4 linked regions of the Daphnia pulex genome follow. The protein of the gene in region 4 interacts with the protein of the main gene of each other region in a biochemical or structural test. Links are inferred from orthologs where the notes say so. Each region holds a gene or a part of one and is shown on either strand. Other genes may lie near its edges.

Region 1 (2,846 bases), on a different chromosome or scaffold from region 4:
AAACGGTTCCCGATTCTTTTAATTTCGGAGGAAATGGGTCTACTTCACCATTTAGCAGATGAATGTTTCTTACTAACGTTATCGTATAATTCCTTATCAATATGGTTCTATTTGATAACATCCGTCACTATCACATTTATTGATAGCTGTGCTTTGACCTTTTTTCATCAATGCCTGGTTTTCTTATTGAATCTGTCTGATTAGGTTAAATTGCCCATTTGTTTTGTTTTTTTGGTTGCCTTTTTTTTGGAGGGGAATTTTTGTGTTGTGCATTTAGGCTTTGCTTGGGAAGGTTAATCTAACTGCTGATAATGCGCTCTTTGTAGGAAGTAGGAACACTGAATAGTTCGATACTTTCTATTCTCATCAGTAGCAAAGCCTAGTCATCCATTCCCTTCCTCCTTCTGCTTGAACCGTGTATCGTTCCGTATATCGAGTAAAGAACGGTGATGGATATTCAAGAAAAAATTACAGCTGAATGATGAAACTTAATAAAAAACTAATGATGGAACGCAAAACACGCGGATGTTTATTTTTTCTGCACATGAAAATTTCCATGTTAAAAATCGTTTGAAATCAAAGTTGAAAAGAGCCATTCGTTTTTTGTTGTATCTGATTCGGATGTTATTTCAAGCATCGTTCGAAATAAACCTGTTTTCCCCAATTAGGTTCAAAACAAGATTGTGTTATTTTTAAATATGATTTCAAAGTAATTTAGCTTACCGAACCAACATATCCCCCTCGCATGGATTTTTGGACGTTTGTTTCGAATAATCGCCGGTTTGTTTGAAGTACTTCTGCAGCTTCTTTATTCAATGGATCTTCTGGATTGGGTTCCTTGAAAATCACACAAGAACAGTGAAATAAAATAACCAACATACATCAATTCTAGGGAATTTAGGACTACTAATAACAAGATGGATTTCAATGAACTGAGAAAAAGAGCTCACCAGGAAAAGGTACTGCAGACCATAAATTATGGAGTTGATTGTTAATACTGGCTTCCAGTCTTCTCGTAGAATGTTAAGACACACATTACCTTCAAGGTCAATGTTCGGGTGATACACCTGTGTCTCACACTTCACTTTGGGTGGTTCATGAGGATAACCAGGACCAACTTTGAAACTAAAAGAAAATTTCCCTCCTCTGTAAAAACCCTGTAACAGAATAATTATAAAAAAGTTTTATAAATCAAATAAATATTTTGCATTTCATAATACGTAATACCTCATCTGGAGAAATGATTAATTTGAAGTTCAGCAAGTCATCTTGGTCAGGAAATTCCATTTGACAAGTCTTGGGTAGATTTAACTCATTAATATCTACGAGACATTATAACAAATATTAAAATAAATGGAACACGGGTCACAAGGTCAGAACTTGTTTTTAGTCAATAGACCTTTGGTGATACGCAGCTGGGCAGCGGATGCTTTCTTTTGATTTCCTGCCCGACCTGGAACTTCATCTTTCTTTTGTTGTTTAAGAGAAAAAAGCTTAATCATGATGTCGGCTCCACAAATACGAGATCTACAAATTTGGGAAAACTTAACAGGGGTTTCCTTCTTATATTTACAGAGGAACCAGTCTAGATTTTATTTGGCCCAATACAGAACAGATGGGAAATTTTTGCTGATTGAGAGGACTAAACAGCAGACTGTTGGAGAAACGTCAAAAACAATTCCATATAAATTTTTTTATGCTGCCAGAAATCCAATTGATACAACTGATTTTTTTAAATTAAAAATAATATTAAATACTGTTAGGTGTAAATTTAGTTATGAATAGTAATTAACAATTCATTTTTCTAAAGTCAATAGGCCTACCCTATTTTTGAAATGTGAAAACGCTGCACAAAGAGAAATTTCTGCTTGGGAATTCGAGGGTACGAGGGAGTCGATAAACCGACTGTTAGCGTTCAAATTAGACACGTGAATTTTTGTCTCAATAGAAAATAATACTACACTTACACTTTAGAGTGTCATCTTGGTTGAACCTGATAAAAATCATCCAACAACTTCGAAGAAATGAATGGGGCAGTGACTAAGTTTAATGGAGACTCTGAAGCCAATAATTTGAATGCGAAAGAAGAAATAGTAGATTTTAGCGGGAAAGGACTCAAGTTAGATACGGAAGCCGACGGTTTGTTCTGATTTTATGTTTGCTTTATAAATGGGATTAAAGTTCTTTTTATTGGAATTTTTCAACAGCCCAACCTATTGTTAATGCAATTCAGGCTGCAAAAGGTTTGACAGGTCTCATCCTTGAAGGAAACACTCTTGGTGTTGAAGCCGCCAAGGCTATTGCCAAAGCATTAGAATCCAAACCAACCTTCCAGAGAGCACTGTGGAAAGATGCTTTTACTGGCCGGTTGAAAGATGAAATTCCAAAAGCTTTGGTAATTTGATTGTGGTGCATGTGACGATTAACAGTATTAACCACCGTTTATTTAAATAGAGTTTCTTAGGAGGAGGACTCATTTTGGCTAAAGCTAACTTAATTGAGTTAGATTTGAGTGATAATGCATTAGGTCCAGTTGGTATGGAAGGTCTTGTTCAGTTTTTGAAAAGCCCTGTCTGCTATTCTCTAAAATGTATAAGATTAAACAACAATGGCCTTGGAATTTATGGTGGACGGGTAACTAAAATTCCATTTATTTGTAATCATAATACTGCTACCTTTTACTTTAGATGCTTGCCCAAGCTTTAAATGACTGTCTTAAAGCCAGTAAAGAGGCTGGTTCTCCATTGAGTCTGAAAACCTTCATTGTTGGAAGAAATCGACTTGAAAATGAAGGAGCGATTGCTCTGTCAGAATTTTTCAAGGTCACTGTTTTTTTTATTTTCAGT
Region 2 (3,134 bases), about 7.0 Mb from region 4:
GATCTCGAGCCTCGGCAATATGCTTTTCGATCAACTACTTGGGCCATTAATATCGGACGTGCTATTGGTGTTGCTATAGGATGTGTGCTTGGAATGGTACCACTTTTATTTTTACCTACATCTGACAGCAAACGGCATTCAAAGGACCCTTCATCTCATTTGTGATTGGCATGTCCGATATATTATTAGTCTTATAACCTTACAAATACGTGAACCTAAAATAATTATTTAAACTCATAAAAATGACATTTTGCCGCGCAATGGCAATGGATCCTACTGCGACTTGGCAACTTTAATGTTCGATTCTTATTGTTTTGCACATTTTTGAGCATTCCGATGAACTAACGTGGAGATTCTTCACATAACAATTATTTATATTGCCCACAATTGCTGTTCAATCTTGACCCCATTATTAGAGATATAGCCAAAGAATTTTACATGTTCAATACAATATATTCTAACACTTGGTAACTCATTCACAGAAAACACAAACAAAATGGTATGCATAAGCCAGTTTATTATTAAGGATTCTCAGAGGATATTTAGAAAAACGAGATGGTTCACGCAGGCCTTGAACGCACTTGGTTGAACAGACGATCTTTAATTACTTGAGCCAGCAAACCATGAAGAGCTTCAATGGAAGTTTTTGTAGCATCACGAGCTGCTTTAGCTAGCCTATCTTCCGATCTTCTATCCTCAATGCTGGAGCCACTCACACCAACGCCGCTTCCGACTAGAGCCGCCCGTCCTAGAGAGTTTTCAGCTTGCTCAAGTTTTTCCGAAAGGTCCGATACTTGACCTGTTGTATAATCAGCATTCTAATAAAAAGAGATATTAATACTTTTTATAACATGATATAACGCTTTGAATATTTGTTCTTACTGTGGTGAGAGATGAAGAACTCAATGTGCTGACCCAGTACTTATTCCATAATGAGTCTAATAGACGGCGATCCAGAGCTGATTTAAAGTAAGAAACCTCAAGGGCATAGTACTGCTTGCAGTGGACACCAAAATCTTCAACCTTATTGAGTGGGATGGTTTGATACTCACTTGGCTCTTCATTTGGGGGTTTGTAACCCTAAGGAAAAATAAAAAGTAAACTACTCTGTACGCTTGATAGAAAAATATATCTGTTCACCTTAGGGTATGTACGGAAGGCACCAAGACACACCTTGCCAGCTGAAATAGTACGAACAGGATCTACAACAATAGCAACAAAGGGTTCCTGGAAATTTTGGTTAAGCATCTGGGTAGAAACATCAATTCCTGATAGCCAGCATCCATATCCAGGGTGTGAATGGTACCATCCAATGGCATTTTCAAGACGATTAACCTAATACTCATATTCCAATTAGTTACTTAAAAATGTGATCAAGAGCAAATGTACTTGCCTGTTTAGCTGATTCTATGTAAGCAGTCATGTATTCATAAGCCTGTGACTGAGCATTTACTCTGGTTTCTGTGCCTTCAACTGGCAGGGCAAATGCATCCATTACCACCATTGTGTTTGCATCTACTTTGCCCAAAAGCAATCCCATCACTTCTAGATGTCCTCCAGACCGAGCATGAGTAACCATTTTCAACAATGCCAAGGCTGATATACGGATCTCTTTGAAGAAATGAGGGCTAGAACATAAAACGTAAAGTTGTTAACATGACTTGATACAAAATAAAAAATAATATTACTCTTTATCCCATGGTTTAGCAGCCAACATGTCTTGCTGTTGCTTTCTATCATATCGATAAATTTCGTCAACTGAACTAATATTTTCCACATTATTAGCCATGAGCCAATTATTCAGGGCTATGTTAGATTGTGAACTCATCTTGGATGTGGAACACACAACCAATTTTACTTGAAACCTCTTTTTGCAAAAGACACTCTAAAGTCCAAATGGGGAAATTCGAACGAGGTATACCAGTGCTGAATATATCAAATCCAAACGTACAGCCGGAAACTAAATCTCATCGACTGTTGATGTCGTCTACGAGACTACGACCTACGGGTCTTGTTTTGCCTTTGGCATACTGGGAGCTGCTGGGAGAATGAAGAGGTAAAATGCGGGTCGCGGCGGTGGTAGGAACAAAGTAAAACGTAGGATTTCAGCCTCAGGGATGGATTGGACGACTGCGATTGCCTAGTCTGCTACGACTGCTACTTCAGTACTTCTGACTTCTCCTACTCCATTAGTCCATTGTCCATTGCCTCACCACTAAATCCCTATCTACTCTTTTTCCCACGTTTTACTATTTCTTACCGTGGAGTTGCCGATGCCCGATAAACAAATTCAAACTTGTTTCCAAACATGCTTTCGTTTCGAGTGTGGCAAATTAAACATAACCGTAGGAAAATACCTTGGAAATATTCATTATCTAGTTTAAATATTCTTCATAATTATAGAATACATTTTTCAACAAAAAGCCAATGCAAAGAAGAAGTATCTATTTCAAACAAATGTGTTACTATTAATCCGTGTGGTATACAAATGTTATCAAGATCTATCCATCGACAGATATTCGAAAAAGAAAACAACAATTCTGTATCTAAAGAAACGCTGTTAAAAATTCAGCAGCATTTATCAATTCACCATCTTTATGGCAAATCACCAAGTAAACTCCCAGATATTGATTTGAAGCTCCCAACTTTATTAGGAAAAAACATAGCAGAACACTTTGAAAAAATTGCTGAAAAACAATGTGGAAGTTACCGTAATAAATTGTTAGATTTGACATCACATTGCATTCCAGACATCCCTCAAGTCTGGAACTTTGCACCTGGATGGACAAGATACAACCAAAATGGAGAGATGGATCTAGTTCATTTTCCAGAAGAGGATGCATATGTCTTTGATGTGGAAGTCTGTGTGAAAGAGGGCCATTTGCCAACCCTTGCAACTGCAGTTTCAAAAAACTACTGGTACTCATGGTGTAGTAATCAGCTGTTTACTGAAAATAAGGTTTATTTTTATTTTTCTTAATACTTTTTTCACCCTATATCAATGCTTTATTATCCTACTTGACAGGTGCAAAGTTCAATTTTGAAGGATATGGAAAGTATTTATGAATTAAAGGACTTGATCAACTTGGAATCAAAAACGGAACAAGACCGTCTCCCTCTCAAAGATCAAAAAG
Region 3 (3,721 bases), about 1.4 Mb from region 4:
AGTTCTTCAAAGAGATATAAAAATAAGTCAGCATACATTTATTCCATGAGTTATCAAGTAGTACCTGGTATTTGGCTTTGCAACTTCCATTTTAAGCACATTGAAAAGTAAGACCTTCAATCAAATTCCAAACAAAGATTACGCCTTGTTTGAAATAGCGGCGAAAATCACTCTCTCTCTTTCGGTTAGTCTTCAAGTGTAGTCTGCTATCACTTAGGAGCCGCCTGGCGGTCAGATTCAGAAGGGGGAGGGTCGGAGGGAGAATAAACGGGAAACGGAGGATGGGCATGGGATACAGGCCTGCCTGAACAGGGTTATAATTTTCTAAAATCTGGTTTATTGAGTTCTAGTTTGCGGCTGGTTTGCGGTTTCCTTTTTTTTAACAAACAACAACATAAAAATAATTATAAACTAAATATATATGTATGTTGGGTTGGTTGAGGATTTATATAAGGATGCCACTTCACTAACTACAAAGTTTTCAAACTAAGAACAAACAATTTCATCTGTATAAGCCAAAGGCTTACATTCACATCTGTATTGATGTCTTCATCCACAGTGGTCTAAGAATAGCACATAAACAAGTAGAAAGCAATCAACAGTCACAGGAAAAATACCGATTTTACATAAACACACAAACAGGCTTACGGTACGTTACATTCGGGAAAAAAGGGTGGGTATACAGAAATACCAATATATACCTACTCTTTAGAGTGGCAATCATGGTCAATCAAATTGTTACCAATCAAAGACAGTTCTTCTCAAACTACAGTATAAACAATTGGAGAAAATAAAGGTGGTTTGAGAAAGACACGATATTTCAAAGACGTGAACAAGAGGGGCCGTTTAAAAAAGAGGGACATTGGCAGGTCAGTACTCTGTACGGCGAAAGTCGTCAAGGAATCACAGCAGATATTGTTTTCATAGTATAAATGAGAGTCAAGGTGGACGAAGATTCAAAGTAAACTAACCGATACAAATACGAATTCAATAACTCACTCATCCATCAGCAATTATCATGTCTTAAAAAACCACATAGTTAATACACTCATCTGAAACGATTCAAGGTGAGAAGAGAGAAAAACTTAATACAGCAAAGCGAAACGAATACGGGAAGAAGCTGAGGGTTGATCACCATCAGTGTAGTTCTTCCTTGGCGTGCAGCACATTTTGGTTGGCTCGATCATTGGCCCATTCAACGAAATCGTCAAAAAGGCTAGGCCAAGCTTCTGTGTCGTCGTAGCGGGAAAGATCATTTCCCACAGCGTCCACTAAGTGTAGAAACATGCACCATGTATCCCTGAAGAAGAGAATTTAAATTTAAATTGCATTGAAATGCCCAACTGTTGGTGATTTGTACCTGGGTATAGCTCGAACAGGTGGAGGAGACTGTTCAAGAAATTCGATCCAACGATCAAGGAGAGGGACGGGTCGATGAGTAAATACAAGCCGCCAAAGTGAAACGGCTACATCAACAGGCAAAGAGCGTTGACCACACTCTACATCCAGAGCGAAGCGAAACGCATAGCGGTAAACGTCACTGAAAACTTCGCTGTCCTCTACTTCTTTTACTAATTGTTCTAAGCTGAACTTGAGACTACGAGGCGAATCTGTTCCTAATAGTCGACATCCCTGGATAAATGATTACACATTAATTTCAATTTTTTAAATAAATTATTTGTTAGTGTTGTTACTTGTAAGAATTCATTCTTGCTGAGCTTGCCCATTTGAGCTGCATCGCACTTCCATGCAAATAAAAGAATACGAAAGTCGTCAGCCGCTAAATCCAAATCAGCACACAGATGAAGTATTCCATCAGTGGTTATGGCATCTTCAATCCTGTCTTCAGTATTTCCACAGTAGCTTTCATAGAAGGCCACTAAATTGTTTTCTGACACTTCCACTGCACTAGTTCCATTCCCCATTCCACCAGTGCTTAATGCACCATTGATGGTATTGTTGTTTGTCTTCTTAATATCACCTGTTTGAGATGTAAAATTTAGTAAGTGTATGGGTGGCTTCATAACAAAGAAATGTTTATTCACCTGAGCTATTACTCCCTCTTCCAACCAGTGGTGGAATGAGCACATAAAAGGGCCTACGCATCTCCCCTTTAGAGTCTCTAGCGTCCAACCCACTTCCATTCACATATGTTTCAGAGCTGATGACCAGGTTAGAGTCCTCTAGCTCTTCCGATTGTGAAGGACGGTATGTATCTGTGTGACCATGAAAAAGGATTGGGTTACACAAAGGTACATTATAAATTAAATTTTCAACTAACCAGAGTCTTCTAGTTTACTTGATGAAAGAGAATAATTTCCAGGAGCAACGGATGATCTGGTATTCGCCTCACTTTTAACACAGGAGCAGCAATTCCCCATGGATGGATTTCACAAACCCGAATCGCGCGCTATAGCCTCACAACTTCAATCCCTTCCCTTCGATTCACTTTTTCTTTTTAAATCGTAACTAGCACATCACCATTGAGCCCTGATCTCGTTTTACGTGAAAATCTCGTAAGATATAAAGCTACCCAATATATAAAGGAGAATCATGTAGAAAATGAAAGGAAAACCCTGGCACACAAAACACTTGTGGGGGGAGGGGGTGACGTTTAGTCCGAAGCACACAGGCATCACAAAGCCTCCTTGCGTCCGAAAAATACACTTTACACTAGATTCAAAATGGCGGACGAAAACGAAACTTCAGTATGTATACAACTCCACATTTTTTAAATTTTAAATTAATAATTCAAGCTTTCATATTGCCACTTTCATTTAGGCCCCTGTAATTACTGTGGAAGAGCCACTTGATTTGATTCGCCTAAGTCTCGATGAAAGAATTTACGTCAAAATGCGAAATGAACGAGAGTTGAGAGGCCGGCTACATGTAAGTCGAGCACATTAAATTGCTTTTTGCTATAAAATTGTGTTCCCAAAATATATTGTATTATTGTTTATGGTCCATAGGCATATGATCAACATTTGAACATGGTGCTAGGTGAGGTAGAAGAAACAGTAACCACTGTTGAAATTGATGAAGAAACTTATGAAGAAGTTTACAGAACAACTAAACGCAACATTCCCATGCTCTTTGTACGTGGAGATGGTGTGATTCTGGTCTCCCCTCCAATGAGGGGTTCAGTTTGACAAATTAACTCAAATTCTTTCATTGTTTTGAAATGTCAAAGGCTGAATACATTGCTTTCTGATTATCTAATTAGACCACATGTGTCACTATCATTTAAGAATTCCCTAACTGTGTTTACAGTTATGATGCATTTAGGCTCTTTAATGACATATGCCTTGCATAAATAAAATATGTTAATTGTGTTAAAAACTTCATACAATAATTGGGTTAAAACTATGATAATATGATGATATGATACTACTTTTTTTTTAGAAAAGGAATGTTAGAGTTAAATATGGAATGAGATTTTAAAAGATAAATAGAACAACGACTGTTCATAGTTTAAAACGTCTAGAATTAAAAATTTATAATAACAAAACAATTAAGAATTTAGACCTATATTTGATTTACACGGAAAAATTTGAAACTTTTTAGTCCAATCCAGACGGCTTTTCAGTAAACCAATGAAATTGCCCGAAACTGTTTTCTTCCAAAAAAACAAATGACAGTCTAGCATTTTAAGTCGTCTGCTCTTAGACACGGCTGCGACACGTGTTGTCCATCGTTAGCGTAAGTTAAAAGCGGTGTTACT
Region 4 (4,012 bases):
TTGGGACTTTTGACAAGAACGCGTTGAGTCGGTTTGCCCATCGCAAGCGATTGCAATGCACGATCCAGATCTTTTTTCGGAACGTCAGTTTCATTCATGATATCCTATAAACAGCATCAAATATGATGAATAAGAAATCATTAAGTTCTACGTGCTCTTACTTCGTAAGTTAGCCTATCTCGGGTGTTAAACAGCATAAGAATACACATCTGATAGGTTGAAACGGAGATTATGTGTTTTCGCGGTCCATTAGCTGATGACGAGGGTGTTGACGAGCTGGGGCCATCACTTCATGGAATCAATCGAAACATTCGATAAGATATGCTCAGTATATAGAGACAACATATAAATGTTCTTACGTTTTTTCTTTTGTCTCAGACTCCTCTCGTCTAGGTCCATAAAAGATTGCGCTCAGATCAGCCGACCCTAGAGCGGGTTGTAGCGTCAACTGTCGCCCACTGTGCTTTGCTAAATAAAATCGGCGAAAGACCTCAAAAGCGTTGCGTGGTGCCAATGGTAGTGTACAAGTAGCTGACGATTGTGTTGGCCAGAATCCAGTTGTTAGTACGCGAACACTCAAGTCCACTCCGTAAAGGGAGGTCTAATCAATAATCGATGGTTGGAAGGCCGTTTTATAATTGCATTTTTTTACTGGATATTTCTTACCCCAGAAGTTTGAATGTGATTTTTGAAGTCTTCCATGAGCATGTTGGAGATAGACATATCCTTGAACATGCCCTCTAATTTCGAGGTAAATTGACACCCACATTCAGTCTAACAAAGTAATTAAAATGTTAGTACGAGCTCAATAAATTGGAAATGAATAAATTACCTTCAGCTTAGAAATCATGTTCTTCTCGCTATCATCGCTAACAGATTTGTTCAGCAGCAGGCGCTTGGCCAAATGTTGTTTATAATAACGCTCGAAAATATCCTTTTCCTGGAGAAAACGGAACAAAACCATGGTTTTGTCGAGCACCAGTTCTATGTCCTGCTCTGTCATTCCTTTAACGCCCTTCTTGAGCTTGTCATCGATAAAGAGTGATAGATATTCGGGAGATTTCAAATTCAAATTAAGAAAATATTCAAAATCTGAAGAGATCATTTTCTTAAAGATTGGATCGTTTACGAAGGATTTTCCCAGAAATGTATCATAGCGATCCTTAAGATCTAATAGACTCTATAGTGTCATTAGAAATCAAAATGAAAGAAATCATTATTACAGAGAGAAAAAAAGGTAAATTTTAATAAAAATACCTGGACAAAATTCAATGCATTGGCACCGGATTCGTCGACATTAACCAGTGCTTTGCCTTCTTCTCGTAAATGCGCGCTGACACAACTAGCCATGGTTCGCAAACCATCCGCTACACGACCCAACAACTTGTACATACAGTGTAAGTCGTCAGTTTTCTGGCATTTTAACATGTGTACTACACCAGAATTTTCCATCTAGTGTGAAAACAAGAATTATTTTTCTGTATAGCATTTTTTAAAACACACTAATCTAAGTTTTACACACCTCAACAATCGTTTTCATGTGTTTCTGTATAAGTTCCTCTTCAACTACTGCAACAATACGCTGCTCGGTCGACTCATCCAAATAATGTTTGGCTCTTTCCGATTCTTCATTAATGCGCGCCTCGACTTTCTTTATGTAAACTGAAGCTGAATTCTCCCCTAAAAACCGCTGACTCTCAGACTGTGAAAGCAAAGTAAAAAAATAATTAAATAAATTGTAGAAAAATTAACAACCAAGTTTTTGTACCCTGTAGAATTCTGCAGATTGAGAAAGAAAAGGTCTTTCAAAATCCTCTTCATAGACAGCTCGACTGTCTATACCCAGCACCATGAGCATTTGACAAGCTGCTCTAACAGAAAGCTTATCTGCAACTTCTCCTTTACGCTCTCTGACAACCATTTCCAAAAGAATATGCCTTAGGTGGTCACGAATGCCTCCATAACGAACAACCTTATAGAAAGTTCAATTAAAATCAAATCCAACAATAAACTATTGAATTAGGCACTTACTTGATCACGAAAAATAATCAATCCAAGATTGTAAACATTATCAACATTATTTTGTTGAACATAAACTCTGTCCATGTACATGAGGATGTCACGAATCATAACCATAGATGTTTGATGATCACTCCATGCTTGATTTAGAATGTGAAGGAAATTGTTGTTCAAGGAAGAAAGCACATCTTGACGAACCTATGTGAAAGTGATCAGGCAAAATCTTTAGTAAAATTGAAAATTTTTTGAGCAAGAAAGATATTACTTTAGATTCTAAATGATGAGTAACAACTTCTCTAAGGCCATTGTACAATCTCTCTCCATGTTTGTGTAGAACCATTGTGTATGCATTTCGGTAAAGTTCTTCAAAACTAAGACCAGAGTTATTCTTCTTCTGAATTTCTTGAATGGCATTCTTCAGTAAACTCCAAATATTTTCCACATACCTCTCGTCCATCGTCATCTTTATTGAGAAAAACAAGAAAACAATAACAAAGATATTCTAATGCCAGAATGAAGTGTTATAATAAACTTTACAGGGAATGCACGAATTCGCATTTTTCCTTCTTTCTTTGAACCGCCGCCGAGACCACCTTTCATCATCGTGAAACTCACTCAAATTTAAATAACGAAACGAAAAAAATACAAGTATCGGCCAAATATTGATAGTTCCGAAACCTTTAAAACGTTTCCATCAAACTAGTTGGCCCCCCTTGTAAGCAAAAAAAACAGGGCAACCTAAAGGCTAACCTCTCTTTCCTTCTCTTCCTCAGAAAACTCAACGTTGTATTTTGCCATCTAGCGGCTAAATTGAAACACATCCATCTGAAGGACAATGAAAAATGGAAATCACCTCCACGCATTTTTTATTCTTTTTAAAATACGCATCGACATTGGCCACTCGCAAGAAAAAGACTTTATTAAATATCATTGATAAAAAAATTATTCGTTTGTTTCATTTCCGTTCAAAAAATGCTCATAATAATAGCTAGGGTTAAGGGTTGGCAGAAAATTGTGTTGAATATTTAAAAAAAAGGCACTAAAAGTAAAAAGTCACATTCACTGGAGAACTCGTAATGAATTATGCGCTTTGAGTCAGACAGTAGCATGCTCCTTGCTAATTTTACTAATATAAATGTATTTATGCATATCTGTGCCTGCCACAGCGCCGTGCGCATTGTCGTATTCTTAGGGAAATCTTAGCTCTTATCTCTTATTAAAAAAGAAAGGACTTAGGAAGGACTTACATAATTCGTTGTAATCTCGGATTCAAATTCTCTCAGCTTCGTTTCATTGAAACCCAATATCGCAAATAAATTAAGAAGGATTTATGCTTAGCCACCACGACAACGTCCAAAGACTTATTTATATTCTGAATAAACTATTATATAAGGAAAGCTATAATCAGGAGCTTTGTTTAACTTTAGCCAGTTTACTGTTGTTTTAAAACCAAGAATATCCATAGACTAGAGGTTTTTATTTACTAAAATGGAATGAAGAATGGAGGATGGGGGAAAAAGTGTTAGATTGTCATTCATGTTCTTATACAAAGCACTTGTGTAGGTAAACATCCGATCGCTTCCAGTAGTTTCCACTACTTTTTAAAGGAATCATCATATCTACAAAGGCTAAAGACTCAAACAAGATGTAACAATTAACACCACACCACACAGCACACATTATGAATCCAAGCTTAGTTGGGGGCTAGCCATATTCAGATGGTTATCAATCATCTGAAAAAGTTCAGGGGGTTGAGGAACTCTACCAGTTTCCATTTTAGACCAAAGTGGAACATCTGTAACAAAAATAATGATAAGTAGGTAAGTTAATAGGGAAGTAATGAATTCAATGAAATCTCACCATTTAATGTGATTTCAAATGCTCCAGTTGAAATTAATTGGCCCTCAACAGCATTGCATAGAAAGAAAGTCATCAAGCACGCATAAAATTTGTTCTGCTGAGTCCACTCCCAAACTGAGGGAGTTTGCACACC

Evidence for each region. The genes of interacting proteins can lie anywhere in the genome.
Region 1: the proteins of cullin-3-A-like (region 4) and NEDD8-conjugating enzyme Ubc12 form a complex in vitro, tested with the Homo sapiens proteins (2 studies listed by BioGRID, with this or other methods). The link is inferred for Daphnia pulex from reciprocal best matches to the Homo sapiens genes CUL3 and UBE2M.
Region 2: of the proteins of cullin-3-A-like (region 4) and COP9 signalosome complex subunit 5-like, one has a biochemical effect on the other in vitro, tested with the Homo sapiens proteins (2 studies listed by BioGRID). The link is inferred for Daphnia pulex from reciprocal best matches to the Homo sapiens genes CUL3 and COPS5.
Region 3: the proteins of cullin-3-A-like (region 4) and DCN1-like protein 3 form a complex in vitro, tested with the Homo sapiens proteins (3 studies listed by BioGRID, with this or other methods). The link is inferred for Daphnia pulex from reciprocal best matches to the Homo sapiens genes CUL3 and DCUN1D3.

The regions. Positions count from the first base shown.
Region 1 is NC_060024.1:11,931,767-11,934,612, forward strand, and holds NEDD8-conjugating enzyme Ubc12, read right to left. Parts: upstream 1,678-2,846; 5' UTR 1,503-1,677; coding exon 1,400-1,502; intron 1,323-1,399; coding exon 1,228-1,322; intron 1,158-1,227; coding exon 951-1,157; intron 838-950; coding exon 724-837; intron 652-723; coding exon 625-651; 3' UTR 501-624; downstream 1-500. Other genes in the region: importin-7-like, read left to right, coding at 1-62; ran GTPase-activating protein 1-like, read left to right, coding at 2,025-2,139, 2,208-2,395, 2,455-2,634, 2,688-2,822.
Region 2 is NC_060026.1:5,023,679-5,026,812, forward strand, and holds COP9 signalosome complex subunit 5-like, read right to left. Parts: upstream 1,897-3,134; 5' UTR 1,829-1,896; coding exon 1,689-1,828; intron 1,629-1,688; coding exon 1,394-1,628; intron 1,336-1,393; coding exon 1,141-1,335; intron 1,081-1,140; coding exon 883-1,080; intron 819-882; coding exon 561-818; 3' UTR 501-560; downstream 1-500. Other genes in the region: transmembrane protein 65-like, read left to right, coding at 1-165. UniProt on the Homo sapiens protein: Probable protease subunit of the COP9 signalosome complex (CSN), a complex involved in various cellular and developmental processes.
Region 3 is NC_060026.1:10,627,986-10,631,706, forward strand, and holds DCN1-like protein 3, read right to left. Parts: upstream 2,424-3,721; 5' UTR 2,382-2,423; coding exon 2,282-2,381; intron 2,217-2,281; coding exon 2,046-2,216; intron 1,982-2,045; coding exon 1,695-1,981; intron 1,633-1,694; coding exon 1,361-1,632; intron 1,301-1,360; coding exon 1,138-1,300; 3' UTR 501-1,137; downstream 1-500. Other genes in the region: uncharacterized protein LOC124205018, read right to left, coding at 1-4, 65-90; nucleolar complex protein 2 homolog, read left to right, coding at 2,685-2,708, 2,782-2,889, 2,970-3,138. UniProt on the Homo sapiens protein: Contributes to the neddylation of all cullins by transferring NEDD8 from N-terminally acetylated NEDD8-conjugating E2s enzyme to different cullin C-terminal domain-RBX complexes and may play a role in the cell cycle progression by regulating the SCF ubiquitin E3 ligase complex, after UV damage.
Region 4 is NC_060026.1:11,981,844-11,985,855, forward strand, and holds the start of cullin-3-A-like, read right to left. Parts: upstream 2,801-4,012; 5' UTR 2,623-2,800; coding exon 2,557-2,622; intron 2,483-2,556; coding exon 2,285-2,482; intron 2,218-2,284; coding exon 2,032-2,217; intron 1,973-2,031; coding exon 1,769-1,972; intron 1,703-1,768; coding exon 1,523-1,702; intron 1,453-1,522; coding exon 1,258-1,452; intron 1,181-1,257; coding exon 833-1,180; intron 775-832; coding exon 667-774; intron 602-666; coding exon 360-601; intron 289-359; coding exon 162-288; intron 105-161; coding exon 1-104. UniProt on the Homo sapiens protein: Core component of multiple cullin-RING-based BCR (BTB-CUL3-RBX1) E3 ubiquitin-protein ligase complexes which mediate the ubiquitination and subsequent proteasomal degradation of target proteins.